Diceros bicornis minor: one gene and its partners. The protein of the gene in region 3 purifies or fractionates together with the protein of the main gene of each other region. This does not show direct contact. Links are inferred from orthologs where the notes say so. Each region holds a gene or a part of one and is shown on either strand. Other genes may lie near its edges. The genes, in order: RALB, EXOC6, EXOC8 and EXOC6B.

Region 1 (7,771 bases), on a different chromosome or scaffold from region 3:
CACTTCAGTCAACAACAAACCACATACAATGGTGGTCCGACAAGATTAGTACCATACAGCCTAGGCGTGTACAGTCTACACCATCTAGGTTTGCGTAAGTACACTCTATGATGTTCGCACGACAAAATCACCTAATGAAGCATTTCTCAGAACATATCCCCATCATTAAGTGACACATGATTGTGTTAGCAATTATCAATAGCACCTTTTTCTTCATTTAGATTTCAATTAAAAAAAAAGCAAAAACTCCCAAAAGAGTCTACAACCATAAGAGACAACACTCAGGAAAATTATAAGCAGTTACTTTTTTCAGAGCAACAAAAACTTGAAATTGAGAGCTGGCTGGCATTTTGTAGTTGCTGTAATAACCACGTATACCTTTCCTCTTTGACACTGAGCTTCCATATTCTCTTCAGCTCTCTTTCTGCTCTCACTCATCCAAAAATTCATATAGCTTCTTGCCTACTGGCCTACTTTTTGGAACATCTACGGATATGTACACATATACATGCCTATTTGTCTTCCTAGGTACCAAAAGAACAGAAGAGCTAAAGGAAACAGCTCATGGTCAAATCTCCAAGGCCAGATATTTATCTGGTATTGGTTAGATCAGCGAGTCTGTGCCAAGCAGACAGCCGATGCTCAATAAATGTCAATTTCTCTCTACCTCCTTACCCACTCCACTCTCCTCCACACGATTAGGGAAGAGTTCCATTTTCTCTGGTACTCCACTCTCTTTGATTCAGACACCCCAGCAATATGTATTCACTGAAAAAAAAAAAAAAATCCAAGTATCTTGCATATCTAACAGCAAGGGCTATTTGTTTAGAAGTCATCGGAGCCAAAGAAAAATGGGACTCTTGCATATCATCCTGAGAAAAATTACACTGGAAACCTCAGAAGAGTTCACCAAGATCTCTTTCAACACTGTAGTTTTGGTTTGTTATATTGTCTCCAAATTTAGCTTTCAAGAAAAGGTCTCCAATGATGTTTCTAACTTACATCAATTCCATGAGTGGATAAGAATTTAGTAACTGAATGCAAAGAGGTATTGTGGGAGTGGGTGATGTGGCACAAAGGATGATGTCAACTCTCTGGTTTAAAAATTTCCAGAGTCTCAAGCCATCTTCAGCCAAGGAAAGAACCTTGAAGAATTAACACAAGAATTGAGAACCTTTCCACTTCTTCCACCAAGACCCGTTTAGATCTCATTTAAGGCTCTAATTCTTGTTTTCCTATCTTTATGTGTCTAGGTCCCATATTCCCAAAAGGTATCTAGTAACTTATACCCCTACTTTTTTCCACACAAAATCCTGGGAAAGGTTCTACTCCTCGGGCACAGGGAAATCTTGCTGAGATCTCAGATAAGAGCATCTACTGTTTCCAATGGGAAATACCATGAATAGAAAAGGAAGGAAAGACCCAGATGTGGTCAGAAGAAAGCAAACTAGCTGACACGACTAAAACCACACACGAGGGATGTGTATCCCCAGCCTTATTCCCACCCCTACCTTCATCCCACCCCCACCACCACAAAGAACACCTTATACATTCCTTATTTCGCTTAATCCTAACAAGCAGGATACCCACTATCACCTTTTTACAGCTGTGGACTCTGCCGCACAGAGAGTTGAAAGGCCGTGCTCAAGATCACACCACTAATAATTTCAGAACCAGCATCAAACCCAGGTCTTCACAGTCTGCCCTCCTCCTCTTCCCAATAGTCAACACTACCTTTCACTGCCACCCCATTTTTCTGAGAACTTCAATATTCTAATTGTATTGCTTCAGGTTTAAGGAACATTGACTTTAACTGTTTCGAGCTTTGACATCCAAGAATCTTGTTGCTCTGCCTAGAACATGGGTCATTTACACATCTAAAAGATACACTAGCCCCTCTGATAATCAGTGCCCGCTATCCATCCCTAAAACTTAACAAAAAGAAGGAAGATTAGGAAACTAGGACAAAGCAGAAGGTTCACTGTTCTTCGAGGGTTGCAATAGAGTCACAGATAACTCTAATGAAGAAACAGCCAAGTCTCCACCATTGGCAGTCCTCAATCAGTCCACCAGACACAACTTCTCCCCAGAAGAGTCACCTGATAACAACATCCAAGTTCCAACGTTTCCAGTATTCACCCGAAAATTAGCACAGAAAGCACACTGCTCAAACAAACAGCCTGGGCGCAGCTCCGTCCGCCACTAGCAGTTCTGAACCAACCACGGATAACCTTATAGTACACCTACAAGAGGGCAAGAAGAGAGGTGCTGCAGCCTCGTCCAGACAAACAGTTCAAGTCCATGGTGCTCTCTATCAGACGCCACCTTCGGTGCCAGCCCCTATCAGTAAGGAACCGGGGGGCCGGGGAGTCAAAAAAACAACTTTACGCTCAGTTGCAAGGGAGCACAAAAACAAACAATTAGACCAAACAACTTTTGGAACACGGCCCCACTTCAGTCCAAGTGCAAGTTCTTAAGGTACTAATAAGTTTTGCAACACTTATGGCCCTGACCCTGCCCACAGCCGCAACTCAGGCACTAAGGAAGTGGACCATCCTCGGGCTGGAGGCCCAAAAGGGCAGGAAGTGGAAGCAGAGGCCATTTGTGGGAAAAGGAAAGGAGCGGCAAAAAGGGAGAGGCTGGGGCGCCGCCCCCACTTCCTCAGCCCCAAGCCAGTCTGGGAGGCCTGGAGGCTTTCTCCAGAGGACCGCCCGGAGCCGAGCGGGGCCACTGCCCCGGCGTCGCCTTCCCCCAGGCTCCGGGCGCGACGTGTCCGGCCGCCGGCCACAGCACAGGGCGGCGCACCTACTTCCCCAGCCCGCGCCCCACCCCGCCCGGAGGGGGCCCTGCCAGAGCGCGGACACGCTCACCTGGGACTTGTCCCGCGTCGCCTTGGCCGTCCGCACCAGGCCCGCGGCTCTTAAACCCGCCCCGCCCTCTCCTTCTCCTCCTCGCGGGGCCGGACCCCAGCCGTCCCCTGCCGATTTGTCATTGAGCAGCCCCGGCTCCCTTCCCACCCCACGAGCGCGCCCCCGGCGTCGCCTAGGCAACCCTGCCTCCCGGGAGCGCGCCCTCTCTTCCGTTCCCGCCCTCTCCCTGGAGGCCACGCCCATCGAGAGCCTATTGGCCAATCCGAAGCGGAGCTTCCAAGCCTCGGGAGGCCGTGGAGAAGGCTTCGCCAAGGAGAAGCCGTCTCACGCGGGAGGGGCGGGCTCGGCGCGCCTGCCCCACCCACCTCCACTTCCTTCTTCTTTTCCGCGGCCGGACAGGCTGCACGTGACCGCTGCTGCAGTGAAGGAGTTGGAGCGGGTCTGGGGACTCCCGGCTTGGGCGGGCGGAGGGCGTTCCCCTCCTGGATTTGGGTCAGGGCGAGGCCAAAGTAGTGGAAAGCAAAAGAGAGGAGCAGACCTGATCTAGAGAAACATAGGAAAATTACGATATAGTGCGCGGGTGTCGAAGGGTCCAGGCGGCTGTCGGGACGCCGGCCAGGGGCTCCTGAGGCGGGAGCTCCTCGTGCCGCCACGACTCGCTTGGCTAATGACATCCCATTAGCAGTAATGCAGTTACTTGACCAATGCCTAGCAATAACTTGACCCAGGTCACATACAAGGGCCAGAGTCCTAACCCCAGCGGTAGCCTTGAGGCAGGAAATGCAGTAGACAAGCTCATGGCCGACAGACAGGTTTTTCTCCCACAACCTGCCCCCGTCGTTGTCCTGCAAAGTCCGGGAACTTGTAATTTTCTATCCAAATAGAGCTTAACCTTGGGTTGATTTTCCTAACTAACCGCACCTTCCTAGAGCTGAATCTTCCCCCAACCCCTCACTCTGCCTCCGCAGGATTTGTGGCCCCGTTGACCCCTACACGCAACACTGTATCGCAATTAATTGTTTAAATGTCAGCCTCTATAATCTCTAGGGAAGGAAACTCTCTTGTTCAATTTGATATCCACAGTAGCAGCACCGTGTAATTAATTCCTTCGTTGTTGATAATTAAACATTAGGATACATGTGTATTATATGCGAGGCTTTGTGCCTTGATTAGATTGCTATGTATAATCAACTAACAGGTCCAGGCCCTCCACCACCAAGTGTATCAAAAAGCACAGAAGATTTACTTTAGTCTTAAGTAATAGGCTTAACAAAAAACTGTAACCAGAAGAATATCCTAGTAAATAGAAGAATGTCTTTTTCCTATGGAGTAATAATTAAGTGCACAGGTTTGCAATCAGCATAAGTTCAAAGGAGGGCTCTGCCATATAAGCAGCAGTTAATTAGGAAGTTACTTAGCCTCTGTGGGCCTCAGTTTCCCCAGCTGCCCAATAGGAGCAGTACCTTCACACTATAGGTGTGAAGATTTAAATGAGATTACCTATAAAGCTCTCAGTACAGTACTAGGAACTTGGTGAGTGCTCAACAAACGTTAGCTTAAATTGTGATTGCCACCAGAGGCCAAGATGTACACTTAAGCATGTTATAACCAACCTAGGGTCAGCATTCCCTCTCAAGGCCTGTTGTATCTGGGACTGTGGGACACCACCATAGAGCAACCAGTGGTGTGTGCAGCCTGGTGAAAAGGACCTGCTCTGGTGATGCTGTTTTATCAAATGCAAGTTTAGACAGGAGACCTGGCTGCAGCAGCCTGCCCAAGGGAAATCAGTAGTTAAGGGAACAGGATCAGGGTCATGGACAGACCAGGATTTTCCTGTTCCCACACCCCCAGGACCCACAGCAGGCACAGGGGGTTTTCTCACTTTCCTGGGCTGTGTAACTGCCATTCCTTTGTATTAGTAATGTGATGTTATGCAGGATGCACTGGGCTTTTTGAGAAATGCTACACTCATCCTCTGCCTCCCACCCCTCAACTCCAAACCTCAGGCCCTGTACTCAGGGATTCTACTGGGACTCCACCAGTAGGATCATCTATTCAGCTCCTGGACATGCCAGGCCCTAGCTGAGTGTGGTAGATTCAGAGTGGAATAAAGGACCCTGCCAGACAGTGAGGGACTGTCTCACCGAGGACACGAGCCCAGGAACATGTCCCACCAGGGGAAGAGCACTGAGAGGCCACCGGCCACGACTGCCACTGGGATTGCTCATGTCAGGTCTCAGAGGATACTCTCATCTGCTGAGCTTCTCCTGTGGGAATTCTGACTCCCGGCAGAGCCAGGGGCCTAAGCAGCAGGAATACAAGATCCCCAGCAGGACCCTGTAAGGTCCCTCTAACCCACTGTAGCTGTGGAAAGAACATTCTAGACACTCCCATTTTCAAAAGTATTTACTGAGTATTGTGTGAGTCTTTACTGCTGTTGGGCAGATATTTCCACTTCTCTCTCCTGGGCACTGGATAGGATTGAACTTCCTAGCTTGCTGTCATTGTGTGAGGCTGTGTGACTAGCTCTAACCAGTGACTTGTGAGCGGAAGTGACACATAAATCATTTTGGGGCTGGAGAATTTATTTGCTAACACGAGACCCTCCAGAGCTCTGGTCTCTATGGGACAGTCACTGGGAATGTTTGGGAGTGTGGCTGCTCCACCAGCCTGAGACCCTACAATGAGCACAGCCCCTCTGCCAACCTGCGATGACATTTAGCATGACTAAGAAACAAACCTTTGTGGTTTGAAGGCACTAAGATTTGGGAGTTGTTCATCACTGCCGCCTAGCTGAGCCTGCTCTGACTGCTACAAGGCCCTAAAGTGTGCCAAGCTGGGGGCACAGTGTTGAACAACTCTGACAAGAGAATAGACAATAACCCAGGGAACAAACAAGCAACTCAATAATTACAAATTGTGTCATTACTTGAGACTGAGTGGTCAAAAAAGGTCTCTCTTAGGAGGTGACATTTAAACTGGGAACTGAAGGATGAAAAGGAATCAATCTTGGAAAAAATTGGGAGTGAAGAGAAGGAGAGGACAGAGGACAAGCATGCACAAACTCCTAAGGCAGAAAAAAGCTTGGTACACTTGAGAACAGACAGGAGACTGGATGAGTGCGTGAGCCCAGGGGAGAGTGAGGCCGCAGGACAGGGGAGAGGGAGGTAGAAGCCAGATTATGGGTTATGATAAAGAGATTAGAATTTATTCCAAGGGTGACAGGAAGCTACCGAGGAGGTTCGAGCCAGGAGGGTGACATGCTTTGACTGAGGTTTTAAAAAGACCACTCTGGCTGCTGCAAGGGGCAGATGTGGGAATGGAGATTAGGAGGCTGTTCTGGGAGTCCAAGCAAACTGGAGTCCACAGGGCCGAGGCTAGAAAGGGTAGTCTGCCCTCGGTAACAGGAGATCTGGGGAGACTGCAGGAGGAGGGGAGCAAGAGAGTTGATGACTAAACCAGGAGTCCTCCTGCCAAATCCCAGAGGACGCAGAGGCAAGGCTGGAAGTCAGGACCCCTAGAGGTGCTTTGACCCCAGGGATATGGGTGCTCAAAATCCAGGCAGGAATGGAGGAGGGTGTGGAGAAGGCAGCTGACCAGTTTCCTAGAACATCAGTCAGCATCAGAGACGTGCTCCACTGAGCTGCAGGATTATATAAATAGATGGTATTATTAGAAAGAGTCTGACAAGCTCCGACATCCCTGTGGGCATTTGGTATTTGGTGATTAGAAAAGAAAGGAGCCACAAATCTACAGATGGAAAAATGAAAAAAAAAAAAAAAAAAGCCATTCTTGCCCACTGAAGAAAATGGGAAGAATCTACTGTAAACAGCAAAACTAGATGGAGCTCATCTTCAGCTCTTCAGTCATCTTTCTATTCTGTGTTTCTCCACCCCTCAGGGCCCAAATGTTCTCTGTCCACTTCTTGCTCTCTCGTTCTATTCTCGGGAACGGGTCTCATAGGCTCATTCACACGCAGGAATAAATGACTGATGACAGCTCAGTGGGTACCCACTCCTTCCTGGGCATTTGTATCATCCAGTGGATGAAAATCTAATGTCCTAGATCAAGAGAAGTATGGGGGGCAGAGACCACAGATCTTTAATTCACACTACTAGAATGGAGTGATGTATCCCTCCTCAGGAAAAGTTTCCAACTCTCGAGTTCTCACCCAAGGCAACAGGTAAGGTAATACATTACTGGAACCCTCCTCCAAAGCCTGGGCAGTAGCCCCAAGCCGCCTTTTCCTTGCAGCCTTCTGCTGGCAGCTACCAAGAAAAGCCCCTGGTATTTACTTACTCCCAAACGTATCCAAAATCTTGACTTTGGTGCTCAATTTAGTTATTGCCACTGTAAAAGACTTACTGGGGGTTTTGAAAACCACTTTTGCTAAGTGTTTTAATGAGAGCTTCTCTTTCCCTATTACCATCTTTCTTTGTGGGCTCTACAGGCCCAGCCAGCCAGCAGGAACTAAACAGATGTTCCCGGAATCGCTCTGCTGGAAAGGCAGAGGCCCAAGTAATTACATAGAAGATAAACCTTTCATCTTCCAAAAGAATTAATCTACCTGGGAAACATGTTAGAAAAAAATAGTTCATGTCTATTTTCCGTTATTGAATTAGCTGGACTTATCTTTTTGCCATCATAGCTTACAAAGAGTTATCTCCCAGAAATAAAGTCAAGTCTGTCTTGTCATTGAGTAATAAGTCTTCATCATTATCTCCCGTCCCTACTACATGCCGGCTCAGGTTCTCCCCTTCCCTCTTTGTGGAGACACGTGCTCCGTACTTCCAAAAATTTGCACAGTCAACAGCCGCCACAGACCTGATACTGACCTCCAGATAACCAGATACAAGCCCCTGCAGGGTGACAGCTGCAAAGCACTCAACTATGAGATAAAA
Region 2 (7,322 bases), about 34 Mb from region 3:
GATTTGATAGTCTGTCTCTTTCAAGAAATCTGTCCATTTCTTCTAAGTTGTCAAATGTACTGGCATGAAGTTGTTCATAATATTCCTTTATTATCTTTTTTAATATCTGTAGAATCTGTAGTGATGTTACCTCTCTCATTCCTGACACTGGTATCAGGAAATGGAAATTCCTGATAATTGGTATCAGCTCTCTTTCTTCCCCTAGAGGTTTATCAATTTTATTGATCTCAAAGAACCAGGCTTGGTTTTATTGGTTTTCTCAGTTGTTTTTCTATTTGCTGTTTCACTGATTTCCACTCTGATCTTTATCATCTCCTTTTTTTAGCTCTTTTTGATTTCATTTGCTCTTCTTTTTCTAGTTTCTTAAGTTAGAAGCTGAGGCCATTATTTGAAATTGTCGTTTTACAGTAGATGTGTTTAGTGCTATAAATTTCTAAGTATTGCTTTAGCTGTATCCCACAAATTCTGATATATTATGTTTTCATTTTATTCATTTCAAAACACTTTCTAACTTCTCTTTTGATTTCTTCTTTCACCCATGTGTTATTTAGATGTGTATTATTCAGTGTCCAAATATTTGGGAATTTTCCAGATAGTTTTCTATTATTGATTTCTAATTTAATCCCATTGTGGTCAAAGAACCATATTACATGTCAGGCCCTGTAAGAAGTGTATAACATGCTTGTCATTTAATCATCTGGCTTCTTCCAGGAAGCCAGATCTGATAAAAGTGAATCAGGAAATAGTCAGGCTGAAAAAGAAAAATAATAACAACAACAACACAAGCCTACAAGCCAGCTAAAAGATAACTGAGACATAACAAGAACAATTAATCTCAACACTGAAATATTTATGGATGAATTGATGTCAGGGATTTGCTTCAAAATAACCCAGGGTGATGAAGAGTTGATGGGGAAAAAGATCAAATGAGATTGGCCAGGGGTTGAATTGAAGCTGGATGACAGGTTGCTGGTGGTTCATTACACTATTTTACTTTTTAAAACATTTAAATTTTCCCATAATAAAAAGTTTTTAAAATTTTAATATTAGCACTTCACTCAGTGAAACCTAGGGAAAAAAATAGTAGCTTAAACACCGTTCAAGAGAAAGGACTGCTAGCAGTGCCTTCTATGTGCGTGTGGAAAAGTCTGCTTGTAAATGAGAGGTGACAAGTGTATATATAGCATAAGTATGAGTCACTGGAGTTTGCTAAAGAAAAGAGCGTGGGTTTCAACAAAACCAGTATGTGACACAATTGCCCGCAAAAGAGAACAGAATTATAACAACACCGTGCATACATATATTCTATTTGTGTCACAAAAATCTCTCAACATATTTCAAATTTTTCTTCTAAATTAATTTCATCTTTTCTTCAAGGATATTTCCTAGCACATTTTTCCAAGAAACATCTTGGAAACATCTCCGTCATAACCAATACTGTTTCAAAAATAGACTGTTCTGATAACTATACCACATACTGTACTGTTTCAGTTTCACCAGGCAACAAGGAAAACAAAGCCTCCTTTCAATCTATGATTTCTACTTGCATTACCAAATGTACAGTGTTTCATATAAAGAAATAATTATGTTGAAAAATTAAGGAAATGCATTAACTATGCTTATCATGTCATAGCAGGAACTTTATGTGACAAAAATTTATCAGGTGCCTAGTACATGCTTGGTGTTTGGGATACATCAGTGAACAAACAGGCAAGGTCTCAAATGTCCTGGGCGTTCTGGGCATCTAATCCTCACCCTCCCCAGTCTACGAATAAGGAAATCGAAGTCCAGAGAGGATAAATGATTTTTGCTCATGACTGCACACTTCATCAGTGGTAGGACTACGGCAAAACAAGAACCCAGGTCTCCAGACTCTCAGGGCAAGATGGATTTACATTATAACTTGAACTGGCTTCACTTTAAGCTACATCCCCAGGTCCACAAAACACACAGCACTCCATTTCTAGGAAGTGTATCCTGAAGAAAATAATAATGATCAAGTACAATCAGTCCTAACTTCCCTAAGTGAATCATAATTTCATTATCCTCACTACGAAAAATGAAGCCTTATATTTAAAAGGCACTTATTCTTCAAGAGAGTCCCTAACCTAATCTAATAGATCAGTACAGCGCCCGGCTAATATTCTATTAGGGCAGCAGATACTCAGTCTGGAATATTCATTACCTGGTACTATTTTTCAAGGGCAGAGATCCTTTTTAAAATAAACGGGAAAACTAATGCAAAATTAATGAAACGTTCGTAAATAAGTAAAAGCTTCCCTGACTCCAGAGAGGCTTGCCCGGTGAGCACACGGTCTCAGCAGGGCGTTCCTGAGCATCAGCTCCTCCCCGCCAACCACCCTCCCTTCTCGCCCCCTCTGGCCGCGGGGCGGGGTGTAATGGTGCCCGCGTCTCCCACTCCATTTCATTCTCCCACGCCCGCCGCAACCCAGCGCGTCAGGCGTTCCACCTGCGCGCGCCTCGGCACCTCCGTCGCGCCGGCTACCAGCAGTTAACCTTGGCTCCCACCACGCCCGCGGCCAAGACCCCCTCAGCCCAGCCGCGATCCGGGCGCCCGGCAGGCCCGAGGACCGTCCCCAGGCCAGGGACCGGCGGCGCCGCAGCTCCGGGGGTCAGAGGCGCCGCGGCAGCCACACCCACCGGCTGCGCAGTGACAGCCCCCGCGGCTGAGGCGGGCCGCGCCGACAGGTGCAGTGGTCGGTTCCGCCCCGCCCCTGGTACCGGCCCGCCGCCCTGGAGCGCCCCCGCCCGCCTCCGCGCGCACCACCTGTCGAGCGGCTTCGCGCGCGGCCGGCGGCAGACGCCACGCCTGGCTCCTGACGAGCGGCCGGCGGGGACAGCCCGAGGTCCTGGGGGGGATGAGATCTTTACCGGAGGGTAGGCCCCACGCAGGCGGTGTCGGTGCTCTCGATCTCCTGCAAGATCCGCTCGTGCTCCGGGACGGTGCCCAGAGCCTCACCGCTCTCCGCCATCTTGGCTGGACGCTGAGGAGCCAGCGAAGCGCGGCGCCGCGCGGACGGCGGGGGCGAGCGGCATGCGGCGCGAGCGCGAGCGCGAGGGGGCGGGAGAAGGGGCGGGGCGGGAGAAGGGGCGGGGCGGGGCGGGGGCGCGTGGACCGCGGGAGAGGCAGCACAGGGGCGCGCGATCTAGCCTCAGGTTGTGATCTTTGCGCCTGCCGGAGGCCATGGTGTTGTCCGCGGCGGCGAGGAGTGGAGAGGCGTCGCCTCGCGCTCTCCCCCGCCACTTGCTCCTCGTTGCTGACTAGTGACTAGCCTGGCTTTCACATTTTCTTGTATTCTGTGTGGCAGAACCTCTGCTGTGCTCTGGGGATAGCTTAGTAATGAGAGAGGTCGACAATCAAATAACCCTCAATCTGTAACAAAAGCGACGGGAACGTTTAACAAGGAGGCCTGATGTACCGTGGGTGGTGGAGAGTCAAAAAAAGGAAAACGCACTCTCAGGAAACGCAAAATTGTGTGTGGGAGTAAGATTTATTTTAGGCATGAACCAAGAAGATCCCAGCTGACCACCATGACGACCGCTCTGGGTGGATTCATGTCCCTGCCCACAGAGTTCAGAGGCTGATCAACTTGGAAATAAATTAGCCAGAAAAATTAAATGACAAAAAACTATGACACTCTATGGCAAAGGCACAAGAGACAACAGGGCAATGTGTGATTTCATGCCAAAGTCCTTGAGCCCTAGTGCCCCCAAGTTGCTGTAGCTGAGATGAGGAGGGATGGAAGCTCTTGAGAGGAGTAGGCATCAGAGAAATGGGAAAGAGAGGTGGGGTGGCTTGGGCAAAGGTGCTAGTGTAGAAGAGTCCTATTTAATGCCATGTTTGTGGGACACTGAATAAACCAGTTTGTCATGATCAAAGCAGTGACTGAGGAATATTAATCCGGAAGAGAGTGCAAACCTAGCCCTGAGGGACAACTATTTTCTGGTCTCCATTAATCCAGGGCTAAACTTCCCTTTGAGTCAACCAAGCTCTTTACTATCCAGCTGTGTAACTCATCCCCTTTACTAGAAGCCTCCCTCCATTCTGCTCCCCACAAAAATCCTGGGAGGTGATATTGCATGATAGTTAAGAGCATGATTGTTGACGACAGGTGTCCTCAATTTAATTCCCATCTCCTTCACTTCACTGCTGAGTGACATTGGGCAAGAACCTAATCCCTTTGGATTTCAGTTGCCCCATCTGTAAATGACCATAATAGTAGTGTCTACATCATATTGCTGTCCCATCGTGTATTAGTTTTCTATTGCTGCTGTAACAAATTACTACAAACTTAGTAGCTTAAAACAACTCAAATTTATCATCTTACAGTTCTGTAGATTAGAAGTTCGACATGAGTCTCACTGGGCTAAAATCAAAGTGTCTGCACGACTGTGTTCCTTTCCAGAGACTCTAGGGGAGAATTCATTTGCTTACCTTTCTCGGCTTCAAGAGGCCACCCACATTCCTTGGCTTATGGCCCCCTTTCTCCAGCTTTAAAGGCAGCAACATTGCATCTCTCTGACCATTCTTCTGTAGTCACATTTCTCTCTGACTCTGCCGTAGGCCAGGAAAGATTCTCTGCTTTTAAGGACCCATGTGATTAGGTTGGACCCAACCATATAATTCTGGATAATCTTCCACCTCAAGGTCTTAACCTTAATCACATCTGCAACATCCCTTTTGACATGTAAGGTAACATATTTACAGGTTCCGGGGATTATGACATGGACATCTTTGGGGAGCCATTATTCTGCCTGCCACACTTAGTAAGGGCCCAACAAATATTACTAACATATATAAATGTTCTCCTTCCTATTACTATGACATTTCTGTCCTCCTTGGAAAATTCAACTCAGATTTGTCTCCATAAAGATTACCCTAACTAATCACAACCTTCTCTGCTAACTCTAGATTCAATTTAGCATATTTATCCACTCCACCAACAACTGTTTTAATAGTTTGCACTTGTTTTGATTGGTTCCTTTTCATACCTTTGTGAGTTTTCTTTGTTTTTGTACACTGAGCCCCAAGGGAACCGAAATGTTGCTGACCTCAGTGCATGCTGGCTTGGAAGACCAAGGAATTATAGATCCAACTGCTCATTCTACCAAGAAACCCCCCCAGCCTGTTTCCACAGCCTTGATGGTACAGGAGAATCCAGATCTCTTGTAAGAAATCCCACTTCCTCATGTTTCAAGAATATACAGAAACAAAAAAATCTTCCCAAGTCCACCAGGTCTGTCACATCATCTTAAGGTCCTTGAGTTCGGAGATGAGTTTTTTTTAATTTTGCAATTTCCTATGGTTCCTCATAGAGTTCTGCATGTAGTTGAGAGAAAGCTGGAGGGGTTTTGAAACCAGACAATGCTGAAGCTCTGAGCCATTGGAAAGAGTTCAGGATGAATTAGAAAGGAGCATTCCGAACAGGTCTAAGCATAAAGTAGGAGTTTGGTTAATCTGTCATTGGTAACACTTAGGAATTAGAACAATATCAAATTGTAAAAAGTTAGTTTCTTCAAACAAACAAACTTCTTCAAGCTCTTTATATATTGACATTAAATATAATATCCTATAATGTGGGTGTATTCAGTTGAAACAATATTTATGGACTTTGGTCAGAGGATATAACGAAGGTTATATCCATTCCTCTGGTTACTTAAAATTTTATCCTTGGATCAAGCCAAATCCCTGTACCTAGACCCCAGTGTTTTGGCCCTACATGCAGTTGATTTTCACTAAGTAGTAAAAAACTGAATTTTTTCTTAGCTGACTGGCTCTCCAATTACTGAGGTACCACCCCCTGGTGTTAGCACATCTGAATTCCAGATTCAGCTCTTGAGAGGAAAAAATAAACCTTTTGAAAATTGAATCTGAAACCCAAACATAAGAAATTAGGACAAATTTTATATCTTCCTACAAAGAGAATAGAAAGCCAGTTCTCTCTGCAGGAAATAGCAGACTATCTTAGCTCAGTCGATGTGCATGGCCAGAATGCATTGTTCTGAAAAGTTCTAAGTGCAGTGAGGAGAGCAGGGCCTGTGAGGAGAGCAGGGCGTGTGGCACAGGCCAGCTTCTTATTTGGCAACTGTCTCCTGATGGGGCATTCATTTCCTGAGCATTCACCATCCAGAGCTCTGCCCCTTCTCTTCACCAAACCTGACACCATCTATCCAAATGCAGCTCCAAATGCCCCAGCTCTGGGAAGCCAGCCCTGCTTAGGCAGGCGCTCCTCACTCCAGGCCTGTTTCAACACCTGCCCATAGAGATTACCTCAACGTAAGCAGCAGTATCTTCCCCTCAATTCAAGTCAAGATGGAAGGAAGTCCATTACCACTTCTCCTTCCGAAACAGCTTTTGCTGGTTCCCTCTAGTGACTTCTGACAGTTCCATTAGTACCTGAAGGCTTTTGCTAAGAATTTAAAGCCAAGTGTCCTAAATAACTGTGTAAATTTAATTATGGACATAACAAATACATAAACATGCAAAAAAAAAAAAGGTCTATTCTAAAGTGGTACATTTCTAAAAGGCTCTAAAATAAGGAATTTCAGCTATAGGCCAAAATAAGAACCATAATAGCTATTTACTGAGCACTATTTGCTAAGCCCTTTATATTATCTAATTTAATCTTTACTAATTTAATTAGCAATTTAACTGGTAATTAAATTAGTACTAATTTTACTAGAATATAATTTAATCCTGTGGGGTAATTTTACTATCTCCAACTTAATTTGAAGAAACTGAGACTTGGAAGGATTAAGTCACTTTTCCAAGGTGGCGCAGCTAGTGAGTTGGAGAAAAATGGAGTTATTAACCAGTTCCTGTCCTTCCCGTTAATAAAAAAGTCAGCCAAGAAGAGTATTCCAATGTTGTTTTACCCAAGGGATAATAATGTGGTCAGTCTGGTCTGAGGAGCTTGAGGGGTAGTAGGGCACACATAGGCAGATTGCACTCGAATGTTGAGTTACTTTTCAGGCAGTGGATACTGACTTCCAGAAATCTACCCAAAATCTCTCTTCAGCACTCCAAGGAGGGAAAAGGAGGACTGGCAGGGCAGGAGATGCATTCTGTGTCCAGTATGAAACTAACCAGCAAAGTAAGGATTTAACCTGTAAATAAACTCTTAGTCACTAATGACTTATACTTTGAGTCACTTGTTTACAAGTTATCTTGGGAAAGCCCCTCCCTCAGAAGGACGCTGTAGAATGCAGCTGTACTGGTCTGGTGCTTAAGTGTCTGGGTTCAAATTCCAACTCATCTCTTACTAGATGTTGGCCTTCAGGAGAGTTATTTAACTTGTCTA
Region 3 (7,563 bases):
AAGGATGGGATAAAACAAGATTTCTCTGTGTATAGTTTTCTAGTTTTGAGATTTTTAATTATATAAAATTTTAAAACAGACAATAAAACCTACTGCTCATTCCACACCAAGGATGCAGAAGTTTAGGTGCAAAATTAACAAAAGCATTTAAGGCTGCTGTTTCATAATCTGTTCTAAAAAATACGTTTTTTTAAAAAAAGCGAAAATCATAAAGGTCTTCAAAAGCATACCTTTTTAATAATCCTCCAAATTTTTTTAAAAAAGAGTTTCCATCAGAAGAACTAGACCTGGCATTAATGAATTTTAGTCTTATAAAATTATGCTGAACAGAAAAATGGGAGAATCAGACATTTTAACTTGGTCATTATGAAAACATCCCTTTTAAAATTATCAACTCTATCTCTGAAAATGAACTTTATTTTTTCAAGTAAATGCCACTCTACTGAGGCTCAAATTCAAAGGCCATTCTATACTTCAAACACTTCTCAACATTCTAAAATAATTATAAATAACTATTTTTCTAAAAGAGAAACAAATTTAGGTTTCTGATTTTTGGTTCAATTTAAACACATCTTGAAAATGATACATGGCACCATACTGATCATTTCTATTTTTATATACTGTATCTACTATTTTCCACATTTAGGCTAGATTCAAGGCTCTACATAACACAGTCCCAAAACACCTTTATTTCCCACCACTGTTCTGTATCTGGCCAAAAGCAACTACTTCTGATTCTCAATATGCCACAAGTTTAATGGCCTCATTTTTTTTCATAACATTCCCATTCCTTCTGCCAAGAGTAGTCTCCCCTACTATCTCTACTCGTCAGAATCCAATCTGTCCTATAAGGCTCACCTCCATGTTTTAATTAGCAGTGGTGATAGTTACAAGGCAGTAGTGATGAGGCCAAGTGGTACAGGGGACAGGACAAGAGCTTTAGAGCCAGGGAAACTAGAGTCTAAGCCAAGGATCTGTTATTTATTGTGCCTGAGACCTTGCACAAGTTACAACTTGTTCCTCATCCCTAAAATGGGGATATCCTAATCTTGCAGGGTTGTGGTAAAGCATACTCTAGATTAACTATATTAACACTAGTTAATCTAGTCCAAAGTCTGGCACACAACAGGTGCTCAATAGTGAGTGAGTGGTAGGAGTGGTGATAGTAGTAGTAATAAACTCTGCATGTATGAAGCTTTTCTTGACCTCCTCAACCAGATAGAGTTCTTTCCTTCTCTGAACCTATTCATTATAATTTAGGTAGCTACTTTAAATACAGACCAGGGTCCCACTGTTCCTCCTGTGTCCTTCTTACCCGATTTGATACTGTAACTTTCCACCCACAGCAAATGCTCAGCTGATACCATTACCACACATTTCCCATTCTCTTCTCACCCATTATCTTTTAAACAAAATTTGTTCATATGTTTATTTAATCATTTATGCAATAAATATTCATTAAGCCACTATTATTCCAATTAGGGCTCCTTGTCAGGTTGATTTGGTTAATCATGTTGTTCGATTTTTTTTGTTTTACGTCTACTATTTTTTTTCTGCTTATTCATTGAGTTACCAAGAGACTTATAACATCCGCAACTCTGACTGTGGATTATTTCTCTTTTTGCTTCTGCTAATTTATGCTTCGTTTGCTTAAAGCTATGTAATTACTTTTAGGCTTGTTATGTTTTTATTTAATAGAATATTTTATCACTATAAAATATCTCCCCTTTTTTCCAAGTAAAACTTCTTCCTTTAAAATCTTTAGTCTAATACTAATATAGCCACAACAACTTTCTATTTACTTTTTTCCATCCTTTTACACTTAACATATGTGTGTCTATTTTAAGTATGTCTCTTTTAATCTAGTGTGTCATTTCATGTCTTTAACTGGAGTGTTTAGTCCATTTACATTTAATATAATTATTGATATTGTGCTTATGCCTACCTTTCTCTTTATCCAGGCTTTGTTCCTTTATTCCTCTTTCCTTTTTTATTAATCAAGTATTTCTGTTGTACTATTTTACATTTATTAGCTATTTACTTTCTTAAAAATTGTGGTAAAAAACACATTACATAAAATTTACATCTTAACTATTTTTAAGTGTACAGTTCAATAATGTTAAGTACATTCATACTGCTGTGAAACTCATTACCTTTTATTATCCTTAAAAACAGCATCCCTCATATTTCCAAGCATGTTTTAACATATTTCCCATCCAATGTCTACCACCCTATGCTCTTTTGTGCATACAAAGTGATATAACTGGGGCAAGACAAGTCACACTGGGTGCATCCTGGAGAATTTCAGGCATCTGTTAGACTCAACTAACCATAATCTAAGAGTTCCCACTGTTCCATTTTGCTAGCAGGAGTGACCACTAGCTCCAGATAGGAAGTGTGCCCTCACGCTGGTTTGTTCTGCCAGCTGGGCTAGATGTCCTGGGAGGGCAGGACCATGGTGGTTGAATAAAGGAGAGTCAAAATTTGTGTCTTAATAGGAAGATCTGAATCCTAAGTTTTTCTCTGCTTCTAAATATGTAACTTAAACCAGTTACTTAATCTCTCTGAATCTTAATTTCCTTTTATAAAAATGAGGATAACACACAATGAACATAAACAGGGTTGTTGTAAAGATCAATTTAGATAATATACATGAAAGCCTTTAACTTTGAAGCACTATAAAAATAGAAGGTAATCATTATTATCTGCCCCACAAAGTTTGCAATGAGGGAAAACTAGTTTCCTTTTTTGACACGTACAGGTTAATTCACAGGAGTCTAAATCAATAATAAGCATTTCTAAGTTACTGAATTAAGAATCAAGTTTATGCAAAGAATACCTCTACAAGATCCTTCCTCGGTCTCAACTTTAAAAGGGGTTCACTGAGACGGATGGAACACATTCCACCCCTCCCTTCATAGCTGCATATCCCAGCACACCTGGAAAACAACCACCACAAAAGCATGATTTACCAAATACATACAAAAGGGAAATAGAGAGGAAAGAGCAAACCCATATACATTCTTGGGCAGTTCACACTGAGAACTCTACGGCAGATGGCTTTCTTAAAAGTATACCCTCTTCCCTGGGAGATATTTGCATTTCACCCCAGTTATGGACATATGTGAACAGTAGTGGCTTCCCTTACCCTAACCAGGCTGCAACAGCTCAAAGAAGATAATCCTATTCTGCTGCTCCCAGTCTCCTCCCTACAAACTATAATCAGTTTGTGGCAGTAACAGCCAGATCTCCATTAGCACATCTCAAAATTATAATACAAGCCTATGTGAAGAAAACGTGCACTTTAAACACAATTTTATATGATATCTTAATCTGTTTTATTTTAGGTTGTTTTGTATCACTTCAAAAACAAGCACGGTAATATACAACCGCATCTTAAACTTGTTAACTCCGTTCCTGTACAGGACTCGATTATTTCAAATCGAGATTTCTCAAATTTAGCGTGTAGGAAAGGAATCCTTTTAGAGGCATCCCCGAAGACCCCTTAGGTCCAGAAATACGGAAACGTCAAGCCCTTGCCCACTCTAACACACGAGCTCACTACTAAGCGGTGCGATCCTAATGAGCATAGAAGAGGACAACACGCCTCTGGAGGTTTCACTGCGTCCTCAGCATTCCAGACTCTGGTTGCTTCTCCTTCCTGGCTCCTAAAACACTACAGTAAATCAAATCAGAAATGTGTTAATTTATTTTCAAGTGAGGTGAGATTCAAAGAAACATCCTCTTCTCTCATTGTGTCCCCTATAAGTCAAACCGTAGCGAGGTGGGCCACACAGCTTTCTTAAAGTTGTCTGGGTGGGAAAGAGAGATAGGGTAGGAAAGGGAGAAATACACGGAGAGGAGGTGCCTGGTCCAAAACCAGACGCCCTCGTTTAACGGCCCCTGGGCCGTCGAGGCGGAGAAGAAGAGAAGCCCAGGGCCAGGGGCTGAGGAAGGGCAGCCAGCCGCCTCTTTTCCCCAACGGGCTCGGGACTCACAGGGTCATTCGCATGCTCCACTTCACCTCGACGGCCTCCAGTTGGCCCCAGAAGAACCGGTCGTTGAACTGCACAAACAGGGCCTGCAAATCCGGGGTGGGGTCCACCAACTCCCAGGACGCGTCCACCAGTGACAAGGGCTCCTGGGCTTGATCGCACTCCGAGACCTCCAAGTTCCACTCCTCCTGAAGCCGTAGTGCCAAAACCAGGTCCTCATCCATCGCTGCCAGGATCCCAGCGAGGTCCGCCGGCTCAGAAACCCAAGGGCCGGGTGGAGCTCCTGGGAGATACCGGCTCTCGGGTCAGCCCGCCGATGTCGCGAGAACTCAGGAAAACTGGCGCGAGAACGAGAACTCAGCTTGCCCCCAAGGCCGACACCAGGATTCTGGGGCTTAAAAAAAAGAAGTCAGCGTGACACCTCCTAGTGGGCTCGAAACTGGGATTCCCAGGGCTTGGGCGAGAGGAAGGTTTCACTAAGCTGGTTATCGCCTTTACGCTTCGCCGGTAACTTCAAACACCAACGCCACGCTCGGCCCATGCGCACTACCTACGTCTCTTTGCCTTTCCCTCTACTCACTTCCGCAATACTCCCCCGGCGCACGCGCTCTAGGCCAATGGCGTTCCTGCGCAGACGCATTGTCTGCGCCCGGCCCCTCGCGCAGGCGCAGTGTCTAACGCTCAGACTCGAGCGCAGGCGTACTTGTCTGTCTCCCATCTGTTCCTCAGCCCTGGAGCTCGGCGGGGTTTGGGTGGGTCTCGACAGCGGCGGCACCGTCAGCAGCGATAGTGACAGTGACTGCGTGGGGCCCGGACGGAAATGGCGATGGCGATGTCGGACAGTGGGGCGAGCCGCCTGCGGCGACAGCTGGAGTCGGGGGGCTTTGAGGCGCGGCTGTACGTGAAGCAGCTCTCGCAGCAGTCGGACGGGGACCGGGACCTGCAGGAGCACCGGCAGCGCATCCAGGCGCTGGCGGAGGAGACGGCGCAGAACCTGAAGCGCAACGTCTACCAGAACTACCGGCAGTTCATCGAGACGGCCCGCGAGATCTCCTACCTGGAGAGCGAGATGTATCAGCTCAGCCACCTGCTGACGGAGCAGAAGAGCAGCCTGGAGAGCATCCCGCTCACCCTGCTGCCAGCTGCCGCCGCCGCTGGGGCCGCCGCGGCCTCCGGAGGGGAGGAGGCAGGGGGCGGCCCGGCCGGCCGAGACCACTTCCGCGGCCAGGCTAGCTTCTTTCCCACCCCCGGGGGCGCCTCCCGCGACAGCTCCGGGTCGGGCGAGGAAGGAAAGCAGCGCACTCTCACCACTCTGCTGGAGAAGGTGGAAGGCTGCAGGCACCTGCTAGAGACGCCGGGACAGTACCTGGTGTACAACGGGGACTTGGTGGAATACGACGCGGACCACATGGCCCAAGTGCAGCGGGTGCACGGCTTTCTCATGAACGACTGTTTGCTGGTGGCCACCTGGCTGCCACAGCGGCGGGGGATGTATCGCTACGACGCTCTCTATCCTCTAGATGGTTTGGCTGTGGTCAATGTCAAGGACAACCCGCCCATGAAGGACATGTTCAAGCTGCTGATGTTTCCCGAGAGCCGTATTTTTCAGGCAGAAAATGCTAAAATTAAACGGGAGTGGCTGGAAGTGCTGGAGGAAACGAAGAGGGCCCTCGGTGAAAAGAGACGAAGGGAGCAGGAGGAGGCAGCGGCCCCTCGAGGGCCACCCCAAGTGACTTCCAAGGCCAGTAACCCATTTGAGGATGAAGACGACGACGAACCAGCTATTCCTGAGGTAGAGGAAGAGAAGGTGGACCTCTCAATGGAATGGATCCAGGAGTTGCCTGAAGACCTGGATGTTTGTATTGCCCAGAGGGACTTTGAAGGGGCCGTTGACCTGCTGGATAAATTGAACCATTACCTGGAAGATAAGCCCAGTCCACCTCCTGTAAAAGAACTAAGGGCCAAAGTGGATGAGCGTGTCCGACAGCTCACTGAGGTGTTGGTTTTTGAACTCTCCCCAGATCGTTCCCTGAGAGGTGGTCCCAAGGCTACTCGCAGGGCAGTTTCTCAACTAATCCGGCTTGGCCAGTGCACGAAGGCTTGTGAGCTCTTCTTGAGAAACAGGGCAGCAGCTGTGCACACTGCCATCCGTCAGCTTCGCATTGAAGGTGCCACTTTACTGTACATTCATAAGCTATGCCATGTCTTCTTTACCAGCCTTCTTGAGACTGCAAGGGAATTTGAGACAGATTTTTCAGGCACTGACAGCGGCTGCTACTCTGCCTTTGTGGTCTGGGCGAGATCAGCCATGGGCATGTTTGTGGATGCTTTTAGCAAGCAGGTGTTTGACAGTAAGGAGAGCCTCTCTACAGCAGCCGAGTGTGTAAAAGTGGCAAAGGAGCATTGTCAGCAACTGGGTGACATCGGACTAGACCTTACCTTCATCATCCACGCCCTTCTGGTGAAAGACATCCAAGGTGCCTTGCACAGTTACAAAGAGATCATAATTGAAGCCACTAAACATCGCAACTCGGAGGAGATGTGGAGGAGGATGAACTTGATGACTCCAGAGGCCCTGGGTAAACTCAAAGAGGAGATGAAGAGTTGTGGGGTGAGTAACTTCGAGCAGTACACAGGGGATGACTGCTGGGTGAACCTCAGTTACACAGTGGTGGCCTTTACCAAGCAGACCATGGGCTTCTTGGAAGAAGCACTGAAGCTGTATTTCCCAGAGCTGCACATGGTACTTTTGGAGAGCCTGGTGGAAATCATTTTGGTTGCTGTTCAGCATGTGGATTATAGTCTTCGGTGTGAGCAGGATCCAGAGAAGAAGGCCTTTATCAGACAGAATGCATCCTTCCTATATGAAACAGTCCTCCCTGTGGTGGAGAAAAGGTTTGAAGAAGGTGTGGGGAAACCCGCCAAGCAACTCCAGGACCTGAGGAATGCATCTAGACTTATTCGTGTGAATCCTGAAAGTACAACGTCAGTGGTCTGATGCTTGGGTCTGTTTATATGTATACGTATATGTTGCTTATATATTATTTATATTTATATTAAGTTGTATTAGCATATTCTTTATAGTCTCAAACACAGCTTAAAAATAAAAGATGCCCTCTCAGTTAGAAATGCAAAATCAAAAGGAGAAAGAAAAAGATGTTAAATTAACCCTAAATAACAATAACATTGGAATTAGTAAAATATATAATATGCTTTTCTTTTAAATCATGCTCATTCTCTAATGAATATATTATCACATTACAGCATTTCAGCTTATCCTTTGAGTCAAAACACACTTTCTCACAGTATATATTATGCAGCAGAGAAAAATAATATCTATAAATACATAGAGTTTAAGTATGTTGTGAAACGTTTCCTAGTTCACTAAAATGTTAGGTTTCTTAAAGGAGACAATGCCGTATAAAACACCCTGCTTTATATACTTCCTTAAAATGCTTAATATACTTCACCTTAAAATGTGATTGAACAATTTGGGGACAAGGAAGGAGGAGTTGAGAAAATTGGTTTTAGGGTAAATTTCAGTCAACAGAATTGCTTCTTGAGAGTA
Region 4 (7,016 bases), on a different chromosome or scaffold from region 3:
TGATACATGGGAATCAACTAACATTGCATGTACTGTTCAAGATTTAAATAAGGATAGTTATATAATGAAAAAGTCAAGCCACTTTGGCTCTCCAAACAAAGAGGGATAAGAGTGGAAGAAGAATCTGGTATCACAGCAGGGAAAGAAATCAAGTAATGATACACAAGTAATAGTTGGCCGAGAGTGGTTAGGCAACGTGGCTACATGGATTTTTGCGAAGAGCGGGAATTTTAGGGATGGGTATAATAATCTTATATCTGCTATCAATTTACTGTTATTCTCTGCTCTTTAGTTCTTCTTCAATTACAAAACCTATCTCAGGAACAGCTAAGAATCTGGTGCCTTAAAATGTTACCTCAAAAGATGGAAGAGATAGGAAAGACTATGAAGAGGGGTAGAGGAGTTTGAGATTTACAGTTGAGGGTAGTTAGGAAAGAGAACCTACTGCCTTAATCAAACCTGGTTAATGACTGTGATGGAAAAACAGAGATAATGATGATAGAGTTACATCCAAGGTTAGGCATGGGATCTGAAACATCAAGTCTGTGCATGCTGCTGCCTCTGAATGGGATAAGGAAAAAAGGTGAGGTCATCCCCTATGAAAATGGGCAGGGACGAGCTAGACTAAAGACAAACACAGAGGGTACTACTTGTATACAGGACATTCAAGTAACTGAAACTTGGGTCTGATAGTAAGATTTAGGATTATGTGCCAAAGACAGGATGAGGCCAAAAATGAAAAGCCGCTAATAATGATACACAGGGAGTCAGGAAAATAACTAAAACAGGCAGGATAGTGCAACGGTTCTCAAACCTTTTTTTTTTTTTTTTACCAGTCCCCTTAGGGCAAAAGATCCCTTAATCCATCTACCCCCTAAAAACCCACTTTCTAGTGGAAAAAGAACTCAGTGATAACAATGAAGCAAATTTTAGGGAAAAGGGGTAACATTTTAACCATAACGCATATATTCTTCAGTCAAGATACTAGAAAATTACAAGCCAAAAGTCAGTTGATACAAATATGCATTACTATTCAGTGGAAGCTAACATAATAAATCACAACAGACTAAACTGATAACACAAAATTAAAGTCATCTATCATATAAACCAAGAACGACAGCAACTGAAAACCACAACCAACTCAAGACAACATTGATAGTGTTCTGATCAAGAATCCTTCCTAAAAACTCTGGTAATCCCAATTGTTCCAGTGGGAGATTTGCTTGACTGCCAACTGCAGCTCAGCCGCCAAATTTCTTAGTAGAACACTGAAACAGCATCTTCAGTAACTCTAGTAACATTTTGTTTTATGAAAACCAAATATTAATAACGCACTTAGAATACTAGTAAGTAGCCCTTAGTTTTTATAAAAGTGAAGATAACGAAATGAGGATCATTCACCCTCAAGAGCTCAAGAAAACAGGAAAAGAGAAGAGCATGAGGGTCACGATCACAATGCATAAAGAGACAAAAGGCAAACTATCAAAGACAGTCATATCCAGAGATGGCACTGGGAGAACTGTGCTAACAATGTGCCCTGGAGAAGGAAGCTACACAGGTAAAGACGAGGAGTAAAGTCTCCAGCCCGCCCCTCCTTCAAACATTCTTTCATGAGGCAACTCTCCCCATGAAAAAACAAGCAGTAATAACTCTTTTTTGAAGGGAGGAGCAGGGTAAGATAACTACCTATCTATTGGCTGCACGGAGATCAGAAGATAGCACAGGAAGGATGAAGATGAGTTAGTTCTAGGGCATTAGTAAACTGAGGGGAAAGGGAAAGGTAGTTCGAAATTGGGCTTGGTGAGTAATTAACAGGAAGTACAGGTATATGATCATCCCCAACTGAGACAGAACAACAGGGGTTAAAAATGCAGACTGGATCCAGACTGCCTGGATCCTCGACTCCCCCACTTTATTTCCTCTGTGACCTTGGGCAAGTCACTTAACCTCTCCATGCCTCATCTGTAAAATGAGGGTAATGATAGCACCTACCTAACACGATTGTTTTGCAGTTTGAATAAGTTATATCTGTAAATCATTTAATACAATGTCTTGCACTGTACGTAATAAGTGGTACCTAAGTTTTGTTAAATAAGTTGAGGTAGGTGGGAGTTTTTGACATCTTCAAATAAAATGGAGGTGTGCGGGCAAAAGAATGGTAACTGGGGGACAGGAGAAGGGATAACTTTTTCTCAGCGATGAGACTACAAAGAGGCTGCACCTTTGGGAGGGATCGTCCTCCTGACGGTTCAGCAAGCACCCGCTCCCAGGAGAGGGGCGCGGGTTGAGAGAAACTTCCTTCCTTCCAGGGCCTAGGATTTTCAGGAACTCGTTTGTGAGAAGTGGTTGTGATTTTAAGGTGGCGAGAGCTTAATTTCCGAGCAACAGACCGTGGGGTGAAATTCTGTTTTGTCTGAAGAGCAGGACTCATGTCTAGGGCAGGACGGGGTTTGAGTCCGAGGGAGAAGGGTGATGTCCTCAGGGGCAAGATCTGCTAAGAGCCACCATCTGTCGGGCGCGCTCTAGTTGCCCGCGCGGGGCTAGCCTCGGAGGTAGCACGAAGGCTGCCCCAGCCGCGAGGGAGGCAGGAGAAGCCTCCAGAGTAACTGGGCTGTGAGCGCGGCGGTCGGGAAGGGACCCCACGTCGGGGCTGCGGAGAGAGATCCGCCTAGCCCAGGGTGGAGGTCGCTCGTCGGTCTCTCCGAAGGGAGGGGCCGGCCCTGGCCTGCGGGCGACCGGCCCAACGCACAGCCCCAAGGGAGCCTGCCCCCCTGGCCCGCCCGTGCCTGCCCGTCGGTGGCCCCGGTACCCGGGGTACCTGAGCGTGGGCCCGATGCAGGCCGTGTCGGTGCTCTCGATCTCTCGCAGGATCCGCTCGTGCTCCGCCGCTGTCTCCAGGCTCTCCGCCTCCGCCATCTTACCCCGCTCCATAGACTGGGGGCGCCCGGTAGCGCGTCCCCTCCTTCAGCTCGGCTCACCTTTCGCTCCCTCTCTCACCCCAGGCTCCAGAGCCTCCCAGCCTCCAGCTACCCGCAGGACGACCCCTCCCTCAAGCTCGGCACGCCCCCTTGCGTCACCGCGTCCGCCGTCGTCCCGCGCAATGCCGGCTGGGATTTGTGGTTCTCCGGACAATGACAGGGTGGCCTCTGCTCATTTATTAATTGAATCCGCAAATACGTGTTGACAGCCCCAGTATAAACCAGGAACATTTAGCGACACTGCATATGCAGCGGTGATCAAGTCAGGCAATGACACTAATCCTACAAATTCTTGTTTAAGACCCTGGCCACAAAGTGCATAAGGCCCTGTAGGCGTAAATAATACAGAAGAACTAATTAGGTTTCTGCAGACAGCGATCTTAAAGCTATGAGGAGGAGAAAGCTGGAGAATCCCAAAACTAAGACATAAGGCAGAATGTGGCTGTAAGCCAGTTCAGAGAATCGAGTTCAGGAATCACTTCTGGCTGTGAAGGATTCATAGAGAGACTGGGCCTGGAAGTTTAAAAGGTGTGACTGGAAGGTGTGAGGAACACCTAGAAAGCCAGCAAGAACTTCATTTGCACTGGTATGTAGACAAGTAGTAGTAAGATATGGGGCTGGAAAGGTACCTTGGAGAGAAATCCTGGGCTAAGAAATTTGTACTTTGTTCTGATGGCTCCACTGGTCCAACATCCAACCGCATCCCAAGCGCCTGGAAACTTTTTTTAAAATATACACTAAACGTCCTACATCTGAACATTCTGATCCAGGCATCTGCATTTCATAAACTCCCCAGATTAGAATTAGAAAATCATATATTGATCACTGCTTGAGTTTTCACATAACACAATGAATGGGAATCCACCGATGGTTTTTAGGAAGAAGAGTGACACAACCAGAACCTTGGCATTAGGAAACTTGATCAAGAGCAAGTGTGCAACGTGGGCAGAGAGAGAGAATTTGGAGATAGGGAAATGCTAGGAGAGATTTTTAAGGCCTAAATCGAGGAAGTGACAATGAGAATGAAAAAGAATGGACACATAGGAAAAACATTGTAAAGTAGAATTGGCAGGATTTACTGGATATGGGGAAGGAGGAGAGGTTCAGAGCAGAGTGACTGGGAGAATGGTGTTGCCATCAACCAAAAAAGGCATGTAAGAAGAACCAAACTGGAAGTTGAGGCTAAATAATTTCTGCTACAGCCATACCATGGATTATTATGGTATGATATGAGAATAAATATTCATATATACTCTTACATATACGTAAAATACTCCATAGAATATTTCTCAAAGGACACCCAAGAAACTGTTAACAGTAGTGGCAGTTAGGAGAGAGCTTGGCAGGAAGGGGCCTGGAGTAGGAGGAAGGTAAATTTTAATTATGTATTGTGTGCACTTTGGGAATTCTTTCCCTTGTACATGTATTACGTTTTCCATAAAAAATAGTAGTTATTAACTAAAAATACATTTTAAAAATAAACAAACCAATAGTGAGGAGAATGGGTTGCAGGTCCTGGTTTGCCAGGAACCGAGCAAGTTGCTAAACCTGTCTGTTTCTAGATAATCTCTGGCTGTCCTCATTTTATTTCATTACTCAGGCTTAAACAATTCCAGACAGATGTAGGAGGGGTAGGGAGAGTATGGAGCCTTTCATATTTCTAAAAATCTCTTAAAATACATGATGGAGCGTCCCTTCAGGCACCCGTTTTAGCATCTCACTCAGCAAAAAGTTTTTTGTCCATCACAGGAAACAGACTGGTATGTAGACCAGATATGTATAGTAGTAGTTAAACTAGCTTTTGCTACTATCAGCAGTTTTTTTGAGCCCCAGCAGAGGCCAAAGATCTCACATGTTATCAATAAGTGTGTGTGAGTCTGGAGTGACTAATATAGGAAAGCTCCAGTGAAGAGGGCCTGCCTAACTTTAATGCCCTCTAAATACAGAGAATGTCAGGTCAGTGTGGAATGACCAGAAAAGCACTAGACTAAGAGTCAAGGGGCCTTTGATTCAGGTCCAGCATTAGCAGTTAAAGTGTATTGAGCACTGTCTGTGCCAGACACAATACACAAAGTAAGCACTTCACATGCATCATTAAATCCTTACAACAATCCTTTGCTGTAGATATTATGTATCCCATTTTACAGATGAAAAAGCCAAGAGATTAGGTAATATCTCAGACCTCACAGCTAGTAAATGATGAAGCTGGTATTCAAACCCAGATCCATCTGATTCCAAGGTCCATTTCCTGACCATTAAGCCATATTGTCCCACCCACACCCTCCATTGCCACGAGTTTTTTATGAGAGCTTAAGCAAATCATTCTGCCTCTTTGCATCTGCTTCCACATTAGTATAATGGATTGTATGATTTCTCAGACCCCTTCCAAATCATCTTGAAGACCTCTTCACAGAACCACCTCTTTCCACTTACTTACTTTAAATGACTAGGTTTTCTCTTCCCCTGCATCAGTAGATTAACAGTGTCAACATTCTCACTACTCCCCACTGCCACTTCTAGACTGTTGTTCCAACACCCTGATTCCTCAGCTCCTCTTTGAAGTTTAGGGCATCACATTGTGTTATGGTCATCTGCTAATGTCCGTATTCATCAGAAATTTTACCACTGGCTCACAGTTTTCCTATCCCCCTCAATCTCTGCCATCATCCTGAAGCACTTCAGTATCAACACAGATAGCTCACCCACACCCGGTCCTCATGGATCCCAACTATCCCAGTGATGTTCCTCATGCCACTTAGTCAATACCTTTATGGCCTCACCTTCTTCTTAACATTCCATAAACACTGCTCTACCCCCAAGGCTACAAACTGAAATTCCTCTCTCTACCTCTTTCCCATCCACCTCTTCCTCTGCCTAATTTCTGGGGAACCCACACTTTAGTCTAATTACAGTCTTCATCTCTGATTTCTATGTAATCTATTGGCATATTTTCCCTTCTAGTCTGGATTTTCTTCTATCCAAACTTCAATTCAGAGAGATCTGAGTTTGACCCCTGGTTTCTCCACTAATCAGCAAGGGAATCTGGGTATGTTACGTGGCTTCCTTAAGCTGCAGATTTCTCATATATAAAGTGGAGTTTATAATATATCCCTTACGTAGTTGTAAGAATTAGAAATAATTAATGTAAGGGGTCTAGCGCAGGGCTTGGCAGAATCAATGTTAGCAGCTACCCACAGCACATACTCCTATGAGCCATCAATCTGACTAAACCTTCTCTAATTCTTTAGCTTCCTTTAACCATATCCACATTGCCAATTTCTCTCCCTTCTATTGTAGTGGGGATAAGAGACTGTAACCATGGCAACTTTTCCACCACAGCACTTTTTTGTTGCTCAATATCATTTGGGCCCTCATGGCTGCTCCCCATCCTGTGACTTCTATTCCTCCTCACAGCACCCATTTATAATCTTTTCCTCTCTACCTAAGATCCTAGCTCTGCTCCCATCCTTCTCACTCTTAGAAGATGACTTCATCCATTATTAAACATTCATTTTCCCTCGCCTTCACAATCTTTTCCTCCAACTCCTCCTCCTTTCCTGTGTAAGAGGATTGGGGATGCCATAACTTTCCCAAGTCAACGTCTCCTCTAGAGAAGTTCCTGCAATTATCTCTCTTCCCTCTTACAGCTTCAGTCTTCCCCGCTGCTTTACCTTTATCAGTAAACACATGCTTGAGTCTTTCCAACTAAAAGTCTCTCCCCTCAGACTGAATAACCACAGGCAGAAGAATGAAATTGGACCCTTATCTTACACCACTCACAAAAATTAAGTCAAAATGGATTAGAGACTGAAACATAAGAACTGAAACCATGAAACTCCTAGAAGAAAACATAAGGAAAAAGCTCTTTGACATTGGTCTTGGCAATTTTCTGGAGATAACACCAAAAGCACAAGCAACAAAAGCAAACACTAATAACTGGGACTACATCAAACTAAAAAGCTTCCTGTGCAGCAAAAGAAACAATCAACAAAATGAAAAGGCAACCAATGTTTTCGGAGAAGATATTTGCAAATTACA

The links.
Region 1: the proteins of EXOC8 (region 3) and RALB purify together in Homo sapiens (affinity purification with western blotting; 6 studies listed by BioGRID and IntAct, counting the BioPlex papers as one, with this or other methods). This does not show direct contact. The link is inferred for Diceros bicornis minor from reciprocal best matches to the Homo sapiens genes EXOC8 and RALB.
Region 2: the proteins of EXOC8 (region 3) and EXOC6 purify together in Homo sapiens (affinity purification with mass spectrometry; 4 studies listed by BioGRID and IntAct, counting the BioPlex papers as one, with this or other methods). This does not show direct contact. The link is inferred for Diceros bicornis minor from reciprocal best matches to the Homo sapiens genes EXOC8 and EXOC6.
Region 4: the proteins of EXOC8 (region 3) and EXOC6B purify together in Homo sapiens (affinity purification with mass spectrometry; 3 studies listed by BioGRID and IntAct, counting the BioPlex papers as one, with this or other methods). This does not show direct contact. The link is inferred for Diceros bicornis minor from reciprocal best matches to the Homo sapiens genes EXOC8 and EXOC6B.

What each region holds. Positions count from the first base shown.
Region 1 is NC_080749.1:12,473,135-12,480,905, forward strand, and holds the start of RALB (ras-related protein Ral-B), read right to left. Parts: upstream 3,010-7,771; 5' UTR 2,871-3,009; intron 769-2,870; exon of another isoform or gene 676-768; intron 1-675. UniProt on the Homo sapiens protein: Multifunctional GTPase involved in a variety of cellular processes including gene expression, cell migration, cell proliferation, oncogenic transformation and membrane trafficking.
Region 2 is NC_080745.1:58,529,698-58,537,019, reverse strand, and holds the start of EXOC6 (exocyst complex component 6), read right to left. Parts: upstream 3,013-7,322; 5' UTR 2,994-3,012; coding exon 2,893-2,993; intron 1-2,892. UniProt on the Homo sapiens protein: Component of the exocyst complex involved in the docking of exocytic vesicles with fusion sites on the plasma membrane.
Region 3 is NC_080745.1:24,862,545-24,870,107, forward strand, and holds the start of EXOC8 (exocyst complex component 8), read left to right. Parts: upstream 1-4,557; 5' UTR 4,558-4,815; coding exon 4,816-6,993; 3' UTR 6,994-7,563. Other genes in the region: DNA-dependent metalloprotease SPRTN, read right to left, coding at 2,840-2,939, 3,999-4,219. UniProt on the Homo sapiens protein: Component of the exocyst complex involved in the docking of exocytic vesicles with fusion sites on the plasma membrane.
Region 4 is NC_080751.1:16,031,927-16,038,942, reverse strand, and holds the start of EXOC6B (exocyst complex component 6B), read right to left. Parts: upstream 3,008-7,016; 5' UTR 2,932-3,007; coding exon 2,819-2,931; intron 1-2,818. UniProt on the Homo sapiens protein: Component of the exocyst complex involved in the docking of exocytic vesicles with fusion sites on the plasma membrane.